Canis lupus familiaris: one gene and its partners. The protein of the gene in region 5 binds, or shares a complex with, the protein of the main gene of each other region. Links are inferred from orthologs where the notes say so. Each region holds a gene or a part of one and is shown on either strand. Other genes may lie near its edges. The genes, in order: TAF13, TAF9, TAF11, TAF5, TAF3 and TAF7.

Region 1 (4,164 bases), on a different chromosome or scaffold from region 5:
TCTCCCTCTGCCTGTGTCTCTGCTTCTCTCTCTCTCTATCTCTCATGAATAAATAAATAAAATCTTTAAAAAAACATAAGACATGTTTAGTATCTAAACAAAGTTAGGTTCTAGGCTCAGATAATTATAGGTTTTTCATTCACATGAATGTTTAGCAGGGCATTCAGAAATATTGTGGGACAACTTCTCCTTGTGTGGCATCATGCCTTGCATTGCAGAACATTTGATATCCCTAGCTTTAGCTTTCTAACGCCAGTGGTTTTCTTCATTGTTCTGATCACAAAATTCCCCACAAATATTTAATCCTCAGTTTAAGGGGGTGATGTTTTCCTCTTAAAAACTAGCGGCGAAGGAAAACATACCCAATAATCAGTGTAGTGCTTGGCAATTAATAATAGTGTAACTAGGGATCCCTGGGTGGCGCAGCGGTTTGGCGCCTGCCTTTGGCCCAGGGCGCGATCCTGGAGACCCGGGATCGAATCCCACGTCGGGCTCCCGGCGCATGGAGCCTGCTTCTCCCTCTGCCTCTCTCTCTCTCTGTGTGTGTGTGAGACTATCATAAATTTAAAAAAAAGAGTGTAACTAGGGCAGCCCCGGTGGCTCAGCGGTTTAGCGCCACCTTTGGTCCAGGGCCTGATCCTGGAGACCGGGGATCGAGTCCCATGTCGGGCTCCCCGCAGAGAGCCTGCTTCTCCCTCTGCCTGTGCCTCTGTCTCTGTCTCTCTCTCTCATGAATAAATAAATTAAATCTTAAAAAAATAATAATAGTGTAACTATAGGTTGTTAAAATTGTGTAAACACACTCTTCGGGCATCCCAAGGACCACTGGCACCCCAGTGATACGTAGCTTCACAGCCCCGAATCAGGGAGCGGTGATTCCATACGTAGAAGCCAATTCAGGGCCACAACATACACACTGCCCAGTCTACGATTTCCTTTTCTTTCCTAATACGTAATCAATCCGTGATCTTGATCACAGAACCTGCGGCTCATCCCCCTGTCCGCTTGCACCTGCCGTTAAGTCTCCGCGCGACCTCCTCGCGGGTTGGCCGACTAGGCCCCGCCCCGCCCGGCTCGGCCCCGCCCCCTCCCCGCCCTCCCGGCTCGGCCCCGCCCCCGCCCCTCCCGGCTAGGCCCCGCCCCTCCCCGCCCCTCCCGGCGCGTCACCGGAAGTGAGGCAGAGGAACTAGTGAAGCGGCTGCAAGCGAGGCTGCGGCTTCTAGGCTGGCCGGCGGCATGGCCGACGAGGAGGAAGACCCTGCTGTGAGTGACCGCCGCCGTTCCCACCCACCCGTTTCTTCATTCCCTGGGGGACAGGAGCGGAGCCTGAGTTCAGATTCACCTTAGCCAGTACACTGGAGAGAGTTCGGAGACTTCACGCCCAGCTAGCCTTTCCCTTCGGGTTCATCTCTTAGTACGTGGGGCAGGACGTGAAGAGTAGGACGGTGGCTGCTTGCTTGCTTCTGCTTGCTTTTGCTTTTGGTGTCTGTTTGCTGGACACTCCGAATCGCCTGGAAAGCCATCCGAGGACAATGCTAATTGTTTGTTAGCGCGCTTTATGAACCGATACTGCAGCTGATAACAAAACTATGTGCTTACTGTAGAGTTGTGGGAAAATAATGGACCGAAAATCAGGGAACCTGGATTTCAAAACCTCTTTTATCTCTGAGCCAGTTTCTTAACTTTGAGCCTTTGTTTACATGTCAAAAAATGGGGTTCAGGCTTATTGGAGGGAAGTTCCTAGTCCTGTGTAAGCGATGCTTAGTAAATACTAGTTTGCTTACTTTGATTCAGTACCAATTCTTAATAGTAAAAACTGTAGTAATAGACTAACTAGTTGGTTTAAAAAAAAAAAAACGTATGGTCATCATAACTTCCAGGAGAGGCAGTAGGATTATTTGTTAGGGACATCGTAGAAGCCATTCCTGCGTAAGTGGAAAGTTGGACTGGATAGTCATTAAGGTTCTTAAAACGCTGAGATTTCATGATTTTTTGCTGCTTGCTTTAGGCTTTCTGGCACAATATCAGTGTTAGAAATGAAAAAAAAATTAAACGTTAATTATTTAATAATCAAATGCAGCACTTGACATTTCACATATACGTTTTAATTTGTAGTTTGAGGAAGAAAATGAAGAAATTGGAGGAGGTGCAGAAGGCGGACAGGGTAAAAGGAAGAGACTTTTTTCTAAAGAATGTAAGTAATATTTGACAATGATTCAATTACAGAGAATAAAAACTTTTTTTTTTTTTTAAAAGATTTTACTTATTTATTCATGAGAGACACACAGAGAGAGGCAGAGGTAGAAGCAGGCTCCATGCAGGGAGCCGGATGTGGGACTTAATCCTGGGACTTCAGGATCATGCCCTGGGCCAAAGGCAGGCGCTAAACGGCTGAACCACCCAGGGATCCCGACAATAAAAACTTTTAGACATGTTTATTCAAAGTAGATTAATGTTCTCTGTGGGAACAATATTCTCAGACTTGCCCATAAAACGTGTTTAACTTCTGAATCAAATAGTAGTGATCCTAACCCCAATTTGTGTGTGTGTGTAGGTGGGTGGGCGTGTATATGCACTTTTCTTTTTAATTGAAGAAATGTGATCAGTGTTTCAATTCAGGGCCAAAAAACATACCTCCATTACTTTTTGTGTCCCTTACTATTGCAGCAGAACTCCTAGACTACAAGTCTAAGGTTATGATGGATCCTGGAACAGGTACTGATGGTAGGAATTAAGTTGGGCCTTCGGACTAAAGCATTGGACAAGACAGAAAGGTGATGAGTAGTGTAAGACAGTACAGTGGCATAGAGATTGTAATGTATTGGTTCTCTAGTGTATTCCCTCAATAGATAGGCTTGACTCTTTTTGGCAGCAGCAAGAGGGAGAGCTGCTGTTCCTAGTGACAGTCAAAGCTAGTCCCTGAAAGGCACTGTGAGAATGTGCTCTCCATCCTGTGTCTTTTACACGTAGTTATGGCTGAGTAGTGACAAAGGAGGCAGCACATGAATATATGGTTTATTTATGCTGGGTCGGACTGAATGATTCCCAAATGCTCTTGAAACTGCAGTCGGTATATATTTATATTTTTTTAATGACTCAAATCCTCCATATCTCAATGTCTCACCTAAAGTTGACCACTCCTTAATCCATCTTTGATACTCTTTATTCTGTTTTTATTTCTTATATCAGCGTAAGAAGGGGATTTCCACGGCAGAGCATCCCAGACTGATGTTTGCATTGTCACTTCTTAGCAGAAATGTTTGTTCTGCTTGGCTTGTTTTATTTTTGTGATGATAAGAGTTTGGAATATTCACAGCCTTCTCCTTGTCTTACTTTAATCTTGTATAATTTATTGGCTGACATCTGTTATCCGAAACTTTGTTTTTTTTTTATTTTTTTTTATTTTTATTTTTTTTAAATTTTTCTTTTTTTTTTTAATTTTCATTTATTTATGATAGTCACACACACAGAGAGAGAGGCAGAGACACAGGCAGAGGGAGAAGCAGGCTCCATGCACCAGGAGCCCGACGTGGGATTCGATCCCGGGTCTCCAGGATTGCGCCCTGGGCCAAAGGCAGGCGCCAAACCGCTGCGCCACCCAGGGATCCCTTGTTTTTTTTTTAATTGCTACTTTATAACACAAAGTTTCAAATAATTCACTGGTATTTGTGTCTTTACAAACCCTTTAACCAAATGCAGTTAACATATATACTGGTGAATTATGCTCATCAAAATGTTAATGACAAAGTATCTTCCTCAAATATTTAAGGAAAAATAGTAAGCTTGCAATGGAGAATCCTGGCAGACAAGTAATGTCTAAAGTATTAGCTGATGATCAAAGTCAACATCACCAGTAATGTATAACATCATGTACCTCCAATATGATGCATTAAGAGGGCACCTCACCTGTATGGTACCCTTTCTAGTAATGAGTACCCACAGTCTAATCATGAGAAAACACCAGAGAAACTCAAATTGGAGAACATTCTACACCATCACTAACCAGAATTCTTCCGAAGGGTCAAGGTCATGAAAAATGACCTTAATTTGAGAAACTGTCACTGATCAATGGAAAGTAAGGAGGCATGATAACTAAATAGTGTGGGATCCTGAAATAGAAAGAGGACATTAGTTGAAAAACCGGTACTGGGGATCCCTGGGTGG
Region 2 (2,907 bases), on a different chromosome or scaffold from region 5:
ATAACAGCCAAAACACCTTCAAATGTATCTTCAGATGCTCAACAGACCCCAAAAGACTCCCCAGAACTGGACCACGGTGCAGTCTGCTGTGGAATGCTTTGCTGCTTTGTTTTCCCAACTAGACTCATTAGCAGTGCCAGGTGGTAATAACTATCCAACTGATTCCTACTAGTAAAATAAAATCTGCCTAAGATCACTATGGACTCTTTCCCCCATTCTCTGCTTCATTTCTGACCTGATACGCTTTTGGAAAATAATTATGCATGGCAGGAAGTTGCCATACAACAGAGAAGGATTGTTGCATCCTGGGATTATATAGGATTTCAGATCAAATACTTTTTATTGTGAGAATAAATTGAAAAACATGGTTTTCATCAGTATAGCACAGTCAAATCTATTTCTTGCTTTTCTTCTTTCCTGTTCATTTCATCATTAAAGACTCAACAAAAGAAATTTTTATTAATTTAAGAGAATGTTTGCACTGGTGTTTTTTGTTTTTTTTTTTGATGAACAACAATTTTATTTTTCACACTTAAAGGCTAATGAATAACCATTACTAATCCTATTAAAGAAAACCCAACATTCAATAGGAAAGGATAACTATATTTACTCATTAAATACCATTTAAGTTTTCTACAACACAACTTCAAAATACCCAGCATGCACGTTTAATCTCAGTACAATGGATTTAAGACCAAGTTTACAGGTTACAGCATCAAGGCTAGATTACAAATTATCATAGTCATCATCGTCATCATCATCGTCATCATCATCATCTTCTCGTTTTCTTTTCAATGCATTTGATGATTCATTGGAAGTATTTTGTGATGACACCATGTTTGTAGTGATAAGAATGTTTTTGGACCCAATTAATGATGGATTAATCAGAACATTCTGAACTGCGGATGTGGCAGGAATTGATGCTTTTACAGTTGGGGACTGTGATGTGGGCATCTGTACTGTAAACCTCTGCCCTGTGAGGGACATGGGAGTCCCTACTTTAGTTGACACTGACATGGTTTGTGGGGTTGGTGTACCAAGAGTGGGAGTACTTGGTCGGCTAGTAACAGAACCAACACTTAACCGTGGAACTGTTATTCTTCCCGCAGAAGTTGATGCCTTTTTTTGTAAAGACTTAAGTCTATAGTTTGGAGCCGTCAAGCAATATCTATCAGGTGGCAGCCTGGGGCCTGAATATGGCTTGATTAACGGCAAAGGAGTTTGATTTCTTTGCCTTGCAATATCCAATAAAAAATCTCTTGGGGGAGGAGAGGTAAAAGACTGATCAGCACGACACTGAATGGCAAGCCGCACATCGTCTGCATCAACAGTAGCCTTCTTAGCATGGCTTGAATAAATTTTTGCATCATCTAGGATTGTGGTCACATATCGGAACGCAAACTCCAACATCTGATTTATAACTCTTGGTTCATATTCTGTAATCCCCATATCCTTCAGGATTTGTGCCATCATCTGTGCATCTTTCGGCATGCTCTTGGGAGAAGCCATCTTGCCAGACTCCATGATATCTGTTGATCAGACTTCTTGAGCTAAATCACCCACATTAATGTATTTCAATCCTGATCTCGATGCAAGTTCTTTGCCTAGTGTGGTTTTTCCAACCCCCGGGGTACCGGTGAGCAGGATGTTCGGGAGCAACATTGCACTGGTGTTTAGCATTCAGTAACATAATGTAGATTCTAGAAACAAAACTAGCCCCAGGATCTGTTCAAGTAAGCTGGAATAAAGGAGTGTATCTTTTAAAGTTGTCTTTTTTTTCACCCATTATACATTGTTACTCAACAGGTAGAAATATGAAGCAGTAAAACAGTATTTAGTAAGCCATTCTCTTATCTAGGAGGCTTTTTTAGTCAGTTAAATTTTGTTTCTGCTTCATTTTTATTAAAAAGAGTAAGGTAACAAAGGGACATAAATGAGGATATGTTTTTAAAAGTAACCGCCTGCCACCTTCCAAAGAAGATAGCCAAATTCCTAGACCTGTGCTATTCCATACAGTAGCCACTAAGCCACACTTGGCTACTGAGCACTGGAAATGTGCCTAGTTCAAATGGAGATGTGAGGGACACCTGGGTGGCTCAGAGGCTGAGCATCTGCCTTTGTCTCAGGGCATGATCCCTGGTTCCAGGATTGAATCCTGCATCTGGCTCCTTGTGGGGAGTCTGCGTCTCTGCCTCTCTGTGTCTCTCATGAATAAATACAATCTCAAAACAAAACAAAACAAAAACAAACCAGAAACAAAAACAAATGGAGATGTAAAGTGTAAAACACATGTTAGATTTCAGAAACTGAATGTGAATAAAGAAGAAAAAAAACCTTAGCAATAATTTTTAAATATATAGTTTGAAAAGATATATTTTGGATATATTGAGTTCAATAAAATATATTATTAAAATTAATTTCACTTATTACTTTTTTAAAGACTTATTTGAGAGAGAAAGAGAGAGAGCACGCGAGTGTGCAAGGGGAGAGGCAGAAGGAGAGGCAGAGAGAAACCCAAGCAGACTTGGTGCTCAGCACAGAACCCGAGGTGAGGTTCAATTTCATGTCTCTGAGATCATGACCTGAGCTGAAATCAAGAGTCAGATAGATGCTTAACGGACTACACCACCCACACTCCCCTGTTTATTACTTTTTTAAAAAATGTGTCTACTAGAAGATTTTAAATTACCTAATGAGTTGTATGATATTTTTATTGGACAACACTGTCCTAGGCTGTTATTTTGGGACATCATTACTCCTGAGAACCGACCATGAATAACAGTAAGATCTTCAATCATAGAGTTAAAACTTAATTCAAAGCTTTTTGAAAAGCAACTTGGAGATACATATTAAGAGACTTACATGTATCTTAACTCTCTTGGGCAGGAATTTATATTTCTGTGACCT
Region 3 (2,501 bases), on a different chromosome or scaffold from region 5:
ATAGGAAGAGAAGAGCACTACGTGTTAGAGAAGCTCACTTTTAAGTTCCAAATCCAGGGGCGCCTGGCTGGCTCAATAGGTAGAACATGGGACTCTTGATCTCAGGGTCATGAGTTCAAGCCCTAGCTGAGGGTAGAAATTACTTTTAAAAAAATTATTAAAATTTCCAAATCCAAAGAAACACTGTTTTGATGAGAAGGTGCCTCCTTTTTAATGTTCTTTCCAGATGGAATCATCAGCAATAAAGAGTTCTATAGATTTAGAGGCAGAAGAGCTGGCTGGTTGGAGAGGACTTTTCTGACATCCCCTCTAAAGAATGAGGTCAGGAAAGTGGGCTCAAGGAGGCAGAGTGGTTTTCATGATCTTTGGCACATCGTTTCTTTTGTAAATACATACTAGAGCTATGTTCATAGCTAAACTGGAAAACTGGATTACACAGCTGAGCTATAAACTTCTCTAGGAGAGAGAGTGTGTCTTACGTATGATGGCACAGCCAGGGCTTGGGACCAAAAAACTACTGAATAATAAGTTTGTTGTGTTGTAATGTGAATGAACTCTTACCTTGCCCAAGTCTGGAATGTAGGCTTGAATATATATGTAATAGGGTTTCTTTCATCTTTTCAGCTCAAGAATCAGGACATCTCAGATTTAACAGCAGTTGAAAGGGAAGACTCCTCTTTGCTTACTCCTGCAGCCAAAAAAATAAAAATAGATACCAAAGAAAAGAAAGAGAAGAAGCAAAAAGTGGATGAAGATGAGATTCAAAAGATGCAGTAAGTCACTTTGTGATTTTTTTTCCCCATTCCAAGGCTCTACTTTGACCACACAAAGTTAATAAGTTTCTTTGGCCTTTAAATTTTTTTTACTTTTTTATATTCAAAAGAAAATAAAGCAAATATCCTATGTTACATTTTAGGAAATATAAGTAAAAAGAAAGATATCACTTTATTACCAGAGATAAACACTGTTCATATTTTGGTATATAGTCTCCAAGATATTTTCTATACATACATATCTAGAATTTTTTTCAAAGATACTACTATTTGTAACCTGTTTTTCATATTATATATGGTGAATGTTTTCCATATCAGTAATTATATATCTAGGTCATAATTTTCTTTACTTGGAAGTAGCTTCATTGTAGTGTTTTGGGGTTGTTTTCTTTTTAAGATTTTATTTTTAAGTAATCTCTACACCCAACATGGGGCTCAAACCCACAAGCCCTAGATCAAGAGTCACACACTCCCCTGGGCTGAGCCAGCCAGGCACCCCTCATTGTGTTTTCTGATTATAAAAGTAGTATGGGCTCGTTGGAAATTATTCAGAGAATACAGAAAAATGGAAAAAATAATTACCTATAATCCTACCACCCAGAGTAACCCCGGATATATATTTGATTATATACTTCTTCAGATTTGGGGGTTTTGGTTGTTGTTGTTGTTTTCAGATTTTTTTTTTTTTTTCAGATTTGTTTTTAATGTTTGATATGTGTAGCTAAATATTTTCCTGTCAGTAAATATGCCCATAAATCCTCAGTTGCAATGGCTTCGTTATATTCCATTATGCAGATAAATAACCCCTATAGTTCCTTTTTTTTCTTTTGACAACATTATGACGAGTATCTTTGAGCACATCCTTCACATACTTGTCCATCTATTTCCTAAATAAACTCCTAGAAGTGAATTGCCAGTTCAAACAGTATGAATATTTTCAAATATTCCTCATACACATTTCCAAATTCTTCTCCAGAAAGGTTGTTCACTTCACACTCTACCAGCAGGTATGAGTTTTTTTATCCTCCCATTCTTACTAATACTGTGCTTTATAATACTTGTCTGATTCATGAAAATGTTATTTTATTAATTTTAATTTCTTTAGTTAATAATGAAGGTTAATTTTTCTTCTGTATTGGCCATTGGTATTTTTGCAAATTCCCTATTCATGTCATTTGCTCGTTTTCTAAATTAATATAGCCATCTTTTCATTTATTTGAAAGTATTAATCATTTTCCATATATTTTACAAATATTTTCCCCCAAATCTAACTACTGGTTTGAATATAAATTTATGTATCAAATGTTTACCATCAATGTGTAGTAAAGGTATAGAGTTACAAGGAGAGAGCAAAGTGCTGAAAATACAATCTAGATAGTATATTATATAGTGACCCAACATTGTTATTCAAGTTTTTATGCTTAATGAAGTAGAAAGGAAGTTGTATTTTCACTTTTTTCTCAAGTTCCTTAAGAATAAAAATATTTTATCTTCATTCCTTGTATGCACAAAGCCTAATGCTATTGACCCCTTGAAAATTCACTAATTGTCCGAAACTTGCTTTTATTGATGTAATAATATATCTTAAGCATTCATTCTTGTAAGCCACTTTAATTACCTGAATCTTTGTCTAGAATCCTGGTTTCTTCTTTTTCGGAGGAGCAGCTGAACCGTTATGAAATGTATCGCCGGTCAGCTTTCCCTAAGGCAGCCATTAAAAGGGTAAGA
Region 4 (4,213 bases), on a different chromosome or scaffold from region 5:
CTGTATAAAAAACGAAGAACAACTTTCAAAAACTGACCTGATACATACCAAGTGACTAAAGCTGTTTTATTAACGTCCAGAGGGAAACTGTTTCTTAGATGTTTGCCTCTCTCCTCTCAAACTCTCTCCCCCACACAATCACACAATCTTATAATGGGATTTTCACTTCGTTTCAGTCACCCATCCAAAACTCCTTCAGCTTATCCATATCTTAAAATAAAATTTTCAAATCAGTAACAAAAAGGTTCAATATTTTTCCTGCAGCTACTTCAAAGACAAATTTCATAATACATGGTATGTGCAAATCAAACAACTATGTTAACCTTCTCTCAAGGTTCAGTGTAAATGGCACCCATGGCTACCAAGCGCTGCCCTGAAGTAACATTCTCAGATCTCTGAACTGAGTATTATAACTTTCTTGTAACACATCCTATTCTGCAGGATATGTATATATCTATCACTCCTTATAAAATGCAAGCATTTCAAGGGTGGGAAGGATGAGCCTTATTCATGTTTTCAAAAGATAACTCAATTTACATGCTTAAAATAATCTCCATAAATACCATTCCAAGGCAGAAAACATGAGTATTTGGGGATCCCTAGGTGGCTCAGCGATTTAGCGCCTGCCTTTGGCCCAGGGTGTGATCCTGGAGTCCTGGGATCGAGTCCCACATCGGGATCCCTGCATGGAGCCTGCTTCTCCCTCTGCCTCTCTCTCTGTGTCTCTCATGAATAAATAAAGTCTTTTTTAAAAAGGGGGAAAAAAAAAACATGAGTATTTATTTGTAATAAAGCAATACCAAACAATGATACACCTGCCAATCTAATCAGTCTCATTGTTGCAAAATTTTAAGTTGCAATTATAATACTTCTGTATTCTTCACTATACAAATGTTATAAGTTCTTTTGGTTACTCAGATGGCCTCTTTTCCTCCTTACTGGTTTCTGAGTTATAATAGGTCAAGTTTCTGAAAATATGAGAGATTATAGAAAAATAACCAACATAATTCATCCATCTTATAGTTCATTCACAAAGTTTAGCATTCAGAAAAGATTCCTCTAAATCACATTTTTGCACATTTCTATTTAAGGGATACAAGGATACATATTCACACTTCACTTCTGGCAATGCTACAAGACTAGGTCTCACATAAATACAGATCTATTTGGCTAGAGGCTCTGCACTGGATAACTGCATTCAATAAACGTTTATTATCACCTCAGGATCACCTTTGAGTCCTCATGCTGTGTATGAATTTTACTGCGTGGACTTTGCAACTACAGTTGCTAGGAAAAGGCTGGGAAGGGAGGTCTCAGGTGTTAAGTGTTAGGCATAAACTTAATAGTGCCAGGCATTTTATATATATTATAGATGAGCCTCACTATAATTCATTTAATAAAAACAACAACAACAACAACAACAACAACAACAAAAACCCAACCTCAACCTCAGGAAGAATCAGCATCACATAAGTAAAAGCAACAGAGATAGAGAGTCTGAACCCTGGTTTGTCCAAAACATATTCCTAAATGAATAGTTCTCAAACGTTGCCATACATCAATACCCCCTTAGAAGCATATATTCAAAAATGGAGATTCCTGGGCAGCCCAGGTGGCCCAGCGGTTTAGTGCTGCCTTCAGGCCAGGGCCTGACCCTGGAGACCTGAGATCCAGTCTCACGTCGGGCTCCCTGCATGGAGCCTGCTTCTCCCTGTGCCTCTGTCTCTGCCTCTCTCTCTCTCTTTCTGTCTGTTATGAGTAAAGAAAAAAAAATTTAAAAAAAAAAAGGAGATTCCTACAGATTCCTCTACACGATCTGATTCACCAAGTCTGAAGTGATGTGCAAAAATCTGCATTCCCCCAAAGGTTTAACTAGTGATAGCCTATAGTTTGAGAAATACTGCTTCACTATGTTCCATCACTCCCTGGCTATTCAGTCCAAAGCGAGTCTCTTGGCTTTTCCGAGTCCGTTTTCTTATAGAGGTAATGTCTAGCTCAGAGTGGAATTGTGAGAATTAGGATATATAAGGTATTTTTAGTAATTACTTAAAGAAGACAGCACAGTTCTGTATAAATAGTGTTAATGCAGACCTGCCAAAGCTTAAGAGCCCCCCAAAGAAGAAAGGGACCGAAAGCCTGAAGGTCCCCGCCTCTAGGCGCCCACCCTCCCCAGACATCCCACTGCTCAACTGCTCTCCTCAGCCTCTCACTGGAACTGACAGCTTGGAAGAGGGTTTGACTGCGCAGCCGGCGCACCAGAGAAAGGGGCGGGCATGTGGCCCTAGAGGCGGGCCCAGGAAATTCAAAACAAGCCCGCAGAGGTGCAGGCCTGCCAGGCTCTGCCTTCCCGGCTTGCTCCCTTCCGCGCCCTGCCTCCCCGGGACTCCGCGGCTCACCTTTCCCGGGAGCCGGAGGACCGGTCGCTAAGCCCGAGACGGCGGGGGCCCCTGAAGCGCCGGTGCCCGGAGGGTCAGGGGCCGCGGGGCCGGGGGCCGAGGCTGTGACCCGGCTGAGAAGCGCGCTAGCCGCCTCCGTACCGGCGCCGTCCGCCTCTCCCGGGGCTCCGGTGCCCGCCACTGCTTCCTCCAGCAGCCGGGCCTCACGGCGCAGCGCCTCTTCGGCCTCGCGGAGGTTACTCTGCCGCAGGAACTGCAGCACGGCCAGCAGAGTCTGTCGGTCGTGGGGGGCGCCGGCCTCCGGAGCAGCGGCGGGCACCGGGGCCGCCCCCGCCGGAGCAACGGCGGAGACAGCCACCGAGGGTTTGGGGGTCCCACCATCCCCGCCGGCCGACGACGCCGCCGCCGCAACGTTCCCGCCGCCGCCGTTGGGGCCGTTGTTGGTAGTGCCGCCGCCACCCTCGCCAGTGCCGTCCCCCGCCTGCGGAGGTAGCAGCGTCGGCGGTCCCTCTGGCTCTAACTTGACCGCCACCTCCGTCTGCTCCTCCGCCAGCGCCGCCATCTTGCGGCTGAGCCACCTCGCGCCGTCAAGCGTGATTGCGTTTTCACCACATGGAGGGCGGGGAGGAGCGTTTTACGACACATTGGGAAGGCACTATACGGCAGTAGGAGGGGCGAGAAGGGAGGAGAAAAAGAACAGGAGCGAGAGCAGTTTTCGAAAGCGAGTGACAGAAAGGCAGGAAGTGGGAGGTGGCGACCGCCTGTAACATTTGACTGTAATAACTACCATTTATTGCAGACCCGCTATTTTTAGGCACCGTGAGAGACATTTTACATTGTATGACCTCCTTTAATTCAACAATCTCACAAGGCAGTATTATCCTCTCTTTACAGGTGACTCAACCGGGACCCAAAGAGGTTAAACAACTTACTTGCCACAGTCACGCAGGAAGAAAGTGAAAGCGTCAAGATTCGAATCCAGGTCTCTAACTCAGAAGCATATCCCATAGCCAGAAGAAGTCTTCTGAGATACTGGTAATGTTTTATATTTTGATCTGTGTGGTGGTGACTTTTTTTTTTTTTAATTTTTACCTTCATAAAAAAGAAACAAGCTAAAGGTATGAGTTTTGTGAACTTTACAGCATGTATGTTATAATTCAGTAAAATTATCTAAATTTTGTCATTGTGAAATGGGTACATTCTGTATTCGTGCTGTTAAACTTTATTACAAATAAACTGCGGTTTTTTAAAAGATTTTATTTATTTATTCATGAGAGACACAGAGAGAGACAGAGAGAGAGAGAGGCAAAGACACAGGCAGAGGGAGAAGCAGGTTCTATGCAGAGAGTCTGCCGTCGGACTCCATCCCGGGTCTCCAGGATCACGCCCTGGGCTGAAGGCGGCGCTAAACCGCTGAGCCACTCGGGCTGCCCCAAACTGCGTTGTTTTAAGATTTTATTTATTTATTCAAGAGAGATACAGAGACAGACCGAGTCATAGGCAGAGGGAGAAGTAGGCTCCCTGCGGGGAGTCTGATGTGGGACTCTATCCCAGGACCCCGGGATCACAACCTGAACCAAAGACAGATGCTCCACTACTGAACCACCCAGGTGTCTCTAAACTGTGTTTAATTGCATACTTTTTAAAATAGTATGTGCCATTTTGGAATATGCTTCAGAAGTTATACAACCCTGCTGCATATTGAATCTTTTTATTTTATTTTATTTTAAAGATTTTATTTGTTTATTCATGAGAGAGAGAGAGAGGCAGAGACACAGGCAGAGGGAGGGGCGCCTGGGTGGCTCAGCGGTTGAGTG
Region 5 (4,451 bases):
AGCAAGCAAGCAAGCAAGCTGGCAGGCAAGAAGGAAGGAAGAAAGGAAGCAAGAAGGAAGGAAGGAAGCTGGAAGGAGGGAGGAAGGAAGAAAGGAAGGAAGGAAGGAAGGAAGGAGGAAGGAAGAAGCTGGCAAGCAGGAAGGAAAGAAGGAAGGCAGGAAGGAAGGCAGGAAGAAAGGAGACAGGCAAGAAGGAAGGAAGGAAGCAAGCAAGCTGGGAGGCAAGAAGGAAGGAAGAAAGGAAGCAAGAAGGAAGGAAGGAAGCTGGAAGGAAGGAAGGAAGGAAGGAAGGGAGGAAGGAGGCAAGCAGGAAGCAAGCAAGCTGGCAGGCAAGAAGGAAGGAAGAAAGGAAGCAAGAAGGAAGGAAGGAAGCTGGCAGGCAGGCAGGAAGGAAGGAAGGAAGGAAAAAGGAAGGAAGGAAGGAAGCTGGCAAGCAGGAAGGAAAGAAGGAAGGAAGGAAGGAAGCAAGAAGGAAGGAAGGAAGCAAGCAAGCAAGCTGGGAGGCAAGAAGGAAGGAAGCAAGCAAGCTGGGAGGCAAGAAGGAAGGAAGGAAAGAAGGAAGGAAGGAGGGAAGGAAGGAAGGAAGGAAGGAAGCAAGCAGGGAGGCAAGCAGGAAGGAAGCAAGCAAGCAAGCTGGGAGGCAAGAAGGAAGGAAGAAAGGAAGCAAGAAGGAAGGAAGGAAGCTGGAAGGAAGGAAGGAAGGAAGGAAGGAAGGAAGGAAGGAAGGAAGGAAGGAAGGAAGGGAGGGAGGGAGGGAGGGAGGGGCAGGGAGGCAAGCAGGAAGGAAGGAAGGAAGGAAGCAGGGAGGCAAGGAGGAAGGAAGGAAGGAAGCAAGCAAGCAGGCAGATGGGCAGGAAGGCAGGTGGGCAGGTGGGCAGACGGGCAGTTGGGCAGGAAGCAGGCAGGCAGGCTCCTGACTCGGCGGGGGCACAAGGGACGTGCCTAAGCGACCCCCAGCTCAGCCCTCGCCGCAGGCCACCCACGGGCTGACTCCACCCAACACTTACGACCCGAGATACTTGCGACGACGCCCGGTCCTCGGCAGCCTGGGGGGATCCGAGGACAGCAGCTCCGCGTGCCCGCAGCTGCGCCGTCCGCTTCCGGTACTGGCTTTGCCCTGCGGGGCCGACTGGGGCGCACCGAACCCAGAGCTGGAGCAGAGGGGCGCCCTGAGGCCGGGGTCCGGGGGGCCTTCCCGGGGTCCCGCAGGCTCCGCCCCGCGCGGCCCCGACCCAGAACGGCCTGGGCGTGACGTAACCCCTGCAACCCGGGGCGGCGGCGGCGGCGGCGGCGGCGGCGGCGCGGGCGAGGCCGGCTCGGCGCGTCCCCGCGCGTCCCCGCGCGTCCCCGCGGCCCGAATCCCGCCCCCGCACTCACGGCCTGTCGCGCTCCCGCTGCAGCGGGCGGACTCGGGCCCCGGCCCCTGAGCGCCCGCCCGAGGGACCCCCGGGCACCTGCCTCCGCGCGCGCGCATCCTCCACCTGCGCCCCGCACCGCGCCGTCTCCGGCGCCCTCCCAGGCCCGACAGCCGCCGCCGAGAGCATCGCTCTGCCCCGGCAGGGCGGAGCTTGCGCACGGGCGCGCTCCGCCCTCGGCTAGTGCTGCCTGGCCCCGGCGGCCGTCCAGCGGGGGGCGGAGCGAGCCCAAAATGGCGGCTCTCAGGCTGGCGCGCTCCGTGCTGCTGGCGCTTTGAGGCGGTCGCCGGGGCTCGGGGGGCACGATTTCCCCGCCGCGGGGGCCCTAGAGGATGAATCGAGGGCTGTGCTAAGGTTAGGCGGTGCGGCTGGAGACAGTGGCAGCGAGGGCTGCGGTGGAGTCCACGGAGCGGGATGTGCGAGAGTTACTCCAGGTCGTTGTTGAGGGTCTCGGTGGCGCAGATCTGCCAGGCGCTGGGCTGGGACTCGGTGCAGCTGAGCGCCTGCCACCTCCTCACGGACGTGCTGCAGCGCTACCTGCAGCAGTTGGGACGGGGCTGCCACCGGTACTCTGAGCTGTGTGAGTACCGGGCCGGGAGCGGGAGGGCTGCCCCCGGACAGCGGCGAGTGACACCTCCGGTCCTCGCGCCTCTGCTCGGCGGCTCCAGGCTGCGGGTCCCCCCCGCCCCCGCCCCCGCCCCTCCCCCTTCCCTCCCCCTCCTCCTCCCCCTTCTCCTCCTCTTCTTCCTCCTCCTCCTCCTCCTCGACCCCGAGATCGGGCATTTTCTCGGACGCCCCCCGTTTTCCGCCGCCCCTGGCAGCTCCGGGGAGCCCCCCCGTCTCCGCGTCGCCCGCTCACTTGCCGCCGCCGCCGGGACCCCCCGGCCCCGCTCGCAGCTGCACGGCCCGCCCGCCTCGCCCGCCTCGCCTCCCGGTGGGAAACCTGCCTCGCTGCCCGCCCGCGCGTGCACGGCCACCGCCAGCTCCGACTTGGGTCCTCCCGCTCCCGTGCCTGCAAACTACTACAACTAGTTGTCACAGGCGCTCCGTCTACCGGCCGCTTCTTGCAGGGCCCCCCTGGCCACCCCTCAGCTCCCAGACCCCGCAGAACCCGCTGACAGCTCTGCCGCGCTGCGGACGCGGCCTCTTCTCTCCTGTGACCGGTCCGCGCCGTGCGGAGCGTGCAAGAGCATCGCGGCTCGCTCGCTCCCCGGAGGCCGACTCTGTCCAGCTCGCTTACACGGGCTTCCGCATACCCGTGGGGTTTTGCCTCTTTTTGGGTTTCTACCTCCGCGGTTATCAAAGCAGGTGGCTTGCGCTGCAAGTATTTATGGGCTTTTTTTTTTTTTTTTAAGATTTTTTATTTATTCATGAGAGACACACAGAGAGAGAGGCAGGGACACAGGCAGAGGGAGAAGCAGGCTCCATGCAGGGAGCCTGGTGCACGACTGGATCCCAGGACCCCGGGGTCATGCCCTGGGCTTGAAGGCAGATGCTCAACTGCTGAGCCACCACCCCCCCCCCCTCTCCCGGGGGTCCCCGTGTTGATGGTTTTTAAGTGAGCGTCCGGTAGTATCGACAGCTGATGGCATTCCATAATTCAGAGTATATTTGATAGGAACCACACATCACCCCAGGGATGTGAAGTAAGTGGGTGTGTGTATAGGGGGAACTACCATTCATTGAAATTTGAGGTCCATACTCCTAAGTTGCCTAAGCTGGAGAACTGGGTGAACAAATTATTGCCTCTCTTTCTCTTTCTTTCTTTTTCTTTCTTTCTTTCTTTCTTTCTTTCTTTCAGAAAGAGTAACTCTTTCTCTTCACTCTTTACTCTTTAGAGTAACTCTTCTCTAAAATCTAAGATTTTATTTATTTATTCATGAGAGACACAGAGTGAGAGAGGCAGAGACACAGGCAGAGGGAGAAGCAGGCCCCATGCAGGGAGCCCGACGTGAGACTCCATCCCAGGACCTCAGGATGACGAGCTGAGCCAAAGGCAGATGCTCAACCACTGAGCCACCCAGGTGCCCCTATTATTGCTTCTTTAAACTCATTCCTAGACCTGAAAATTGAGACCCACAGATGCCGTTTACTTCTTAGGCCCCCAATTCTGTACCAGCTTCTACAGTGCTGCCAAAATAATCTGTCGGTAAGGCACATCTGATCACGTTATTCTTTTCTTTTCTTTTAAGGACTTTATTTATTCATGAGAGACACACAGAGAGAGAGAGACAGAGACAGAGACACAGGCAGAGGGAGAAGCAGGCTCCATGCAGGGAGCCTGACATGGGACTCCATCCCGGGACTCCAGGATCATGCCCTGGGCTTGAAGGCAGCGATAAACCGCTGAGCCACTGGGGCTGCCCTGATCGTGTCATTCTTAAAAATATGTTAATTTGTACTCCATGGCTTACAGGCTGAAAATATGAACTCTTCCACAACACACATGGTTTTCTTTGTGAGCTTTCCCTTCCCTCCTGCTGTTCTTATTGCTACCATGCTGAGCTACCTGCCTTCTCCAAAACCTTTTAAACTATCTGTTCCTATATGGGTGCCATTTCGTAGAGTATCTTTCTTCACCCCCTGATCCACCAGTAGTCCTACTTCTATGTTGAGATTCACTTAAAGCACTTGATTTGGGCAACTCCTGTCATCTGCTCTCATAATTCTGTCCATATTCCTGTACGTTAACACCTTGTTTTGTAATCATTCTTGTCTATCATTCATCCTTTCTTTTCCCCAGGCAACAAATTTATTATATTTGTATTCTGTAACCTAGTATGGTGCCATAATATACTGGGCACCCAGGAGGTGGTTGCTGAATAAATGAATGAACTGATAACCTACTACTGTAATAGCTGTTTAGTCACCTGAGTTTTTGAGTTCCAAGATGTGAATTTTGGGATTGCTTGATTTCACTGATAACTTCTAACCTAAACGTGGTACGACAAAGTAACTCTCATTCATTGTTACCTTGAATACACCGCCAGCACCCTGCTGTCTTGGTTTTTGCTTCTTTTCTTTCCCTCCCCCTCT
Region 6 (4,158 bases), about 8.1 Mb from region 5:
GGCATTACATTGGAATCTTAAGAATATATGAAAAATTTTAAAGAAACTTTGAAATATCCCACTATAGTGATGACTTCCTTTTGAACAATTTTGACGAACATGGACATATCACCTGAGTTCTGTACATACTATTAAATAATTGCAGGAATGGAAGTTGAAAATATTTAGAAATGCAATCAATCCAAAACAATGGGTTGATTACGTGAACAGTACGTAAGAGCCTTTGCTTTGTTTCTACTATTTTAACAAGATGAGTGTAGTGCTTTAAAAAAAAAAAAAAAGACAAAAATAGACCTTCATGTACAAAAGTTAGGATAGTTTAGGAAGGTTCTGTACGCAGTATTTTCTTAACCTACATATGTAACAGGTGGGTTGGAAAGTTAACATAAAGCAAAGACAGATTTCCCAATCTTTTTGACCCTACTGTGTTTTCTTAAAACTCAACATAACTTCTTTCCCTACAAAACAGGATCAAATCAGTCATTAAACCCCACCAAGAGACCACCTCACCAGAGGACCTGATACCCACTACCCCTTAAAGAGCAAGACACATCATGAGGTGAAAATTAGTTGCTTTTATTTATTGTTAAAACAACTTTTTGAAATGGTTTATAACCCTACATACATAAGAACGCTTTGAATACCTGGGAAAATAGCTACTACTTCATGGGAAAACATGCAAACCAACATCACTGCCTGCACACTAGACTCTGCTTACTGATTTCTGATGGCATCACAGAGAAGGAACAGCCACTCTGGCAAATGGAGAAACAGCAGCAAAATCCTTCAGTAAAGTTTTAATTACTAAGGTTACACTGTTCATTCCACTGAGCCTACAATTTTCCTACAATCACTTATCTGTCTATACATTCTTACTTTCTACAGGACACAGAGCAAAGTGGTTCTGACAAACAAGATAGCAATTCACATATTTGTAAGACAAATTCAGTAGATAACAGTGAAGAAAATGAGAACTACTGCAGTTATATCTAGTCCAGGTGTGATGAAGCCAAGATTCTTCTTTCAATGCTAAGGAATGAAAGCAGTCTTAGGAATGAAATTAAATACGAGAGCTCTTTTCACTTCTCCAGGAGTGATTCTAGCTCTTCCTGCAAAGAGCTGAGCTGCTCCCTTTCTCGGTCTTCCTTTTGTTTGAGTTCATCCAGCACGGCCTGAAATCTATTCTTGAGAGCCAGGTTTTCGACTTTCATAATGAGATCCTCCTGTCGTTTTGCCCTATCCTGGGTCTCTTGTAGTTTGCCTTTCATATTATCAATCTGTTTCTGAATTCCCATAACCAGTTGGTTGGTCCCCTCATTTTCTTGGTGCTGTTCATCTGATTCATTCAGCTTCTCCTGTAGCTGTCTTTCCAGATCTTCCTCAGTGTCAATGATGTTTATATCTTCTTCATCTTGATGCTGCGTCTCATCTTCATCTTCACTGCTGCTACTGAGGTCATTGAATATCTCCCGAAGCTCATCATGTTCTAATGAGTCATGGCCCTGCCTGTGACCAGACATTCCTGGAGAAGATATATCAAGGCCTTGATTTTCTGTTTCTTTTGTTTCATCTTCAGCAATTATCTCCCAACGAGTACTCACAGCTTCAGCATCTGTACTTAGCAACCGCTTCACTTCCTTCTCCACATCTGGAGATTCAATATACTTCTTCTTTGCTGTCTTCCGAAACCTTCTCTTTCTGACATTTTTTAGAGGCAGAGTAATTCCATGGTTCCATATAAACTTCTTCTCTTTGTCCTTATCCTTTTTCTTGCTTGCTTTGGGATCAGTAGTAGCAACTGGTTCCTCCACAGGAGGATAGAGATCACCATCAACTGTGGAGACAAGCATCTGACATATATCAGCTGTCTTGTAAAAAGTTTTTTTATCAATGGTTTTCAGGCTTTCCATAACACATGGCAGATCTACCAATTTGGAGGCCAATGGAACCCGGTCCACTCTGACGATTCCGTGACGTCCATCAGGGTGTAACTCAATTGTCAGTCTGTCCTTCAGATTGACATGACCAGACTGTACTGCCCGTCTCACAGTAGAGGCATATTCCGGAGGTAGCCGTAAAATAAACTGGCTCTCCAGTTCGTGAGGAGCATCATCTTTGCTCTTACTCATCTTTCCTTCTTTGAGACTCACTTCTCAACCACCACTTGTTGCACTTTAAGTTCCAGCTACTGACAACAGGTGGAGGCCAGTTTGTTATGAACTGAAATCCTTAATTACAAAAGTTTTAAGCAGAATAGGAGCTAAGCGTCTACTGTGAATTAAGGCCCAAGTCTTTATAAATCTGCTGTGATTGAAATACCAGTCGTTAGGGACACTAATCAATTAAGTCCATTTAAAACTATTAGCTGCAATTCAAGTTCCAACCTCTAGATGCCGCTGCCGGACAATGCAGACCGAGCTACCTAGCAGGAAAGCAAATGGCGGCTTCTGCGAAATGATTTTCGACACAAAAAGTAAGGCCCAGCAGACACTCCCATTTTACACTCTCTCCCGGAACAAAGGTATTCAAAAAGCAGAACGCAGTGAGCTTTCTTCGCCTTGGGTACTTACAATCCAGTGACGATTATAAGCCCAGCTTCTCCGGATAGGAGCGAGCGGAAGAGGCAGCCACTCCGAGCAAGACGGCCAGGAGCCGAGCGTCTCCTTCTTTATTCCTTTGTTCTTCCCAGGTCTTAGGAAAGTGATCCGCTACCGATTATCAATGAAATGCCGACGGCGGGCAGTGCGAAATCTCGCCGAGATCCGCAGCGCCAGACTCGGCAGCTCCGCAGCTCGGGGGATCTCAGTCCGGAGCTGCAGACCTAGCGGAGAAGAAAGCACTACGTCACACCGTGGGGCGGCTATGAGTGACAGCACGATTAAAGCGGAAGTCCGGGCTGCCCCAGCGCGCGCAGGCGCAATTACATTATCCGGGGACTTGTCCTCTCGCGATGATTTGACTTTACGCGAGAAAACGATAAATGTTTCATAAAGAGCTGTTGGTTTGAAAATATTTACAGACAAACATTGCAGCGAAGACATTGGCCCTCGCGTTCACCTTTCCCGCTCCGCTAAGCCAGAACATTTATTGGTCGCCGTGGTCCGGTTATCTCCTAGGCTTCTGAGTGATTTCCGGAAACAGGGCGTCCGTGCAGAAATCGTCTTTGCCTTTTGGAACATCTCGGATGCTCCCCACGGTATATCCATTCTGGAGCAGATACAAGAATTATAGTTAACTATAATTGTTATATATATAACAGTGGATTTTAAACTACTCAAATCAGTGGAGTGAGAAGGACATGCTGACCACTATATCATTCTAAGTATATGTTTTGTTAATTATGGAAAATGCCTGGAGGGGACCCATGCCTTAGGGACTCTTTCTTTTTTGAAAAACCACAAGGGTACATGAGTTATTCCTCTTTTTAATATGTTTGACGTAGATCTAAATGTAAACAAAGAAGCGAGTGTTCTTCTGGAGGCATATATTCGTTTAGAACATAATTGTCTGACAAACGGTCTGATTGAAGTAGAATAAAATTGAAGTATTACTCCCTGTCACGCATTTGCCTGTACTTTTTAAGTTAGGATTTTTTTTTTCATTCCACATCTACTCTTTTGAAACTGTTTTCTGCTTGTCACTTCTACGGGTAGTGAGGTACTCATTTGCATGTTTTGTAGTGTTTAGGCCTAAATATGTAACAGTTTACATTTGCTCCTATTCATTTCCATTTATTTTTTAATAGGATCAGTTTGGTTAAGCATCAAGGTCATTAAAATTTTGTTTCTGTCTTCTAAAATATGAACAACTTCATCTAAATTTAAGCAAACTCACTTAAAATGTGATTAACACTTTCAGAATTCGTTTTGTTTAGGTACTTGACTGTTTCTCTTGCACCAGATTGGAAGCTCTGTGATAATCAGGGAGTTTTTGATATCCCTGTTCATGGTGTCCCAGGACCTATTACCAAAACATGGGAAACACAAAAAAATATTTGCTAATTGAATGAAAGTTGATTCATTTAGAAATGACATATAGTCTGTTTCCCATAATAAATAATTTGTGAGAGACAATACATTCTAAAATGAGACAGAGCTACTTTATATATATTTTCTCTCTAGCCAAGGGCAGTGCCAATTGTGAGTGGAGAGGTTTCCT

The links.
Region 1: TAF3 (region 5) and TAF13 share a complex: the UniProt entries of both Homo sapiens proteins name them as parts of the TFIID basal transcription factor complex. The link is inferred for Canis lupus familiaris from reciprocal best matches to the Homo sapiens genes TAF3 and TAF13.
Region 2: TAF3 (region 5) and TAF9 share a complex: the UniProt entries of both Homo sapiens proteins name them as parts of the TFIID basal transcription factor complex. The link is inferred for Canis lupus familiaris from reciprocal best matches to the Homo sapiens genes TAF3 and TAF9.
Region 3: TAF3 (region 5) and TAF11 share a complex: the UniProt entries of both Homo sapiens proteins name them as parts of the TFIID basal transcription factor complex. The link is inferred for Canis lupus familiaris from reciprocal best matches to the Homo sapiens genes TAF3 and TAF11.
Region 4: TAF3 (region 5) and TAF5 share a complex: the UniProt entries of both Homo sapiens proteins name them as parts of the TFIID basal transcription factor complex. The link is inferred for Canis lupus familiaris from reciprocal best matches to the Homo sapiens genes TAF3 and TAF5.
Region 6: TAF3 (region 5) and TAF7 share a complex: the UniProt entries of both Homo sapiens proteins name them as parts of the TFIID basal transcription factor complex. The link is inferred for Canis lupus familiaris from reciprocal best matches to the Homo sapiens genes TAF3 and TAF7.

Annotation. Positions count from the first base shown.
Region 1 is NC_049227.1:43,170,347-43,174,510, forward strand, and holds the start of TAF13 (transcription initiation factor TFIID subunit 13), read left to right. Parts: upstream 1-1,180; 5' UTR 1,181-1,236; coding exon 1,237-1,263; intron 1,264-2,115; coding exon 2,116-2,194; intron 2,195-4,164. UniProt on the Homo sapiens protein: The TFIID basal transcription factor complex plays a major role in the initiation of RNA polymerase II (Pol II)-dependent transcription.
Region 2 is NC_049257.1:19,523,802-19,526,708, forward strand, and holds TAF9 (transcription initiation factor TFIID subunit 9), read right to left. Parts: upstream 1,653-2,907; 5' UTR 1,525-1,652; coding exon 727-1,524; 3' UTR 588-726; downstream 1-587. UniProt on the Homo sapiens protein: The TFIID basal transcription factor complex plays a major role in the initiation of RNA polymerase II (Pol II)-dependent transcription.
Region 3 is NC_049233.1:4,267,198-4,269,698, reverse strand, and holds part of TAF11 (transcription initiation factor TFIID subunit 11), read left to right. Parts: intron 1-561; exon of another isoform or gene 562-624; coding exon 625-773; exon of another isoform or gene 774-2,407; coding exon 2,408-2,495; exon of another isoform or gene 2,496-2,501. UniProt on the Homo sapiens protein: The TFIID basal transcription factor complex plays a major role in the initiation of RNA polymerase II (Pol II)-dependent transcription.
Region 4 is NC_049249.1:15,937,556-15,941,768, reverse strand, and holds the start of TAF5 (transcription initiation factor TFIID subunit 5), read right to left. Parts: upstream 2,979-4,213; 5' UTR 2,959-2,978; coding exon 2,397-2,958; intron 1-2,396. UniProt on the Homo sapiens protein: The TFIID basal transcription factor complex plays a major role in the initiation of RNA polymerase II (Pol II)-dependent transcription.
Region 5 is NC_049223.1:27,343,065-27,347,515, reverse strand, and holds the start of TAF3 (transcription initiation factor TFIID subunit 3), read left to right. Parts: upstream 1-1,630; 5' UTR 1,631-1,829; coding exon 1,830-1,995; intron 1,996-4,451. UniProt on the Homo sapiens protein: The TFIID basal transcription factor complex plays a major role in the initiation of RNA polymerase II (Pol II)-dependent transcription.
Region 6 is NC_049223.1:35,442,199-35,446,356, forward strand, and holds TAF7 (transcription initiation factor TFIID subunit 7), read right to left. Parts: upstream 2,880-4,158; 5' UTR 2,130-2,879; coding exon 1,080-2,129; 3' UTR 556-1,079; downstream 1-555. UniProt on the Homo sapiens protein: The TFIID basal transcription factor complex plays a major role in the initiation of RNA polymerase II (Pol II)-dependent transcription.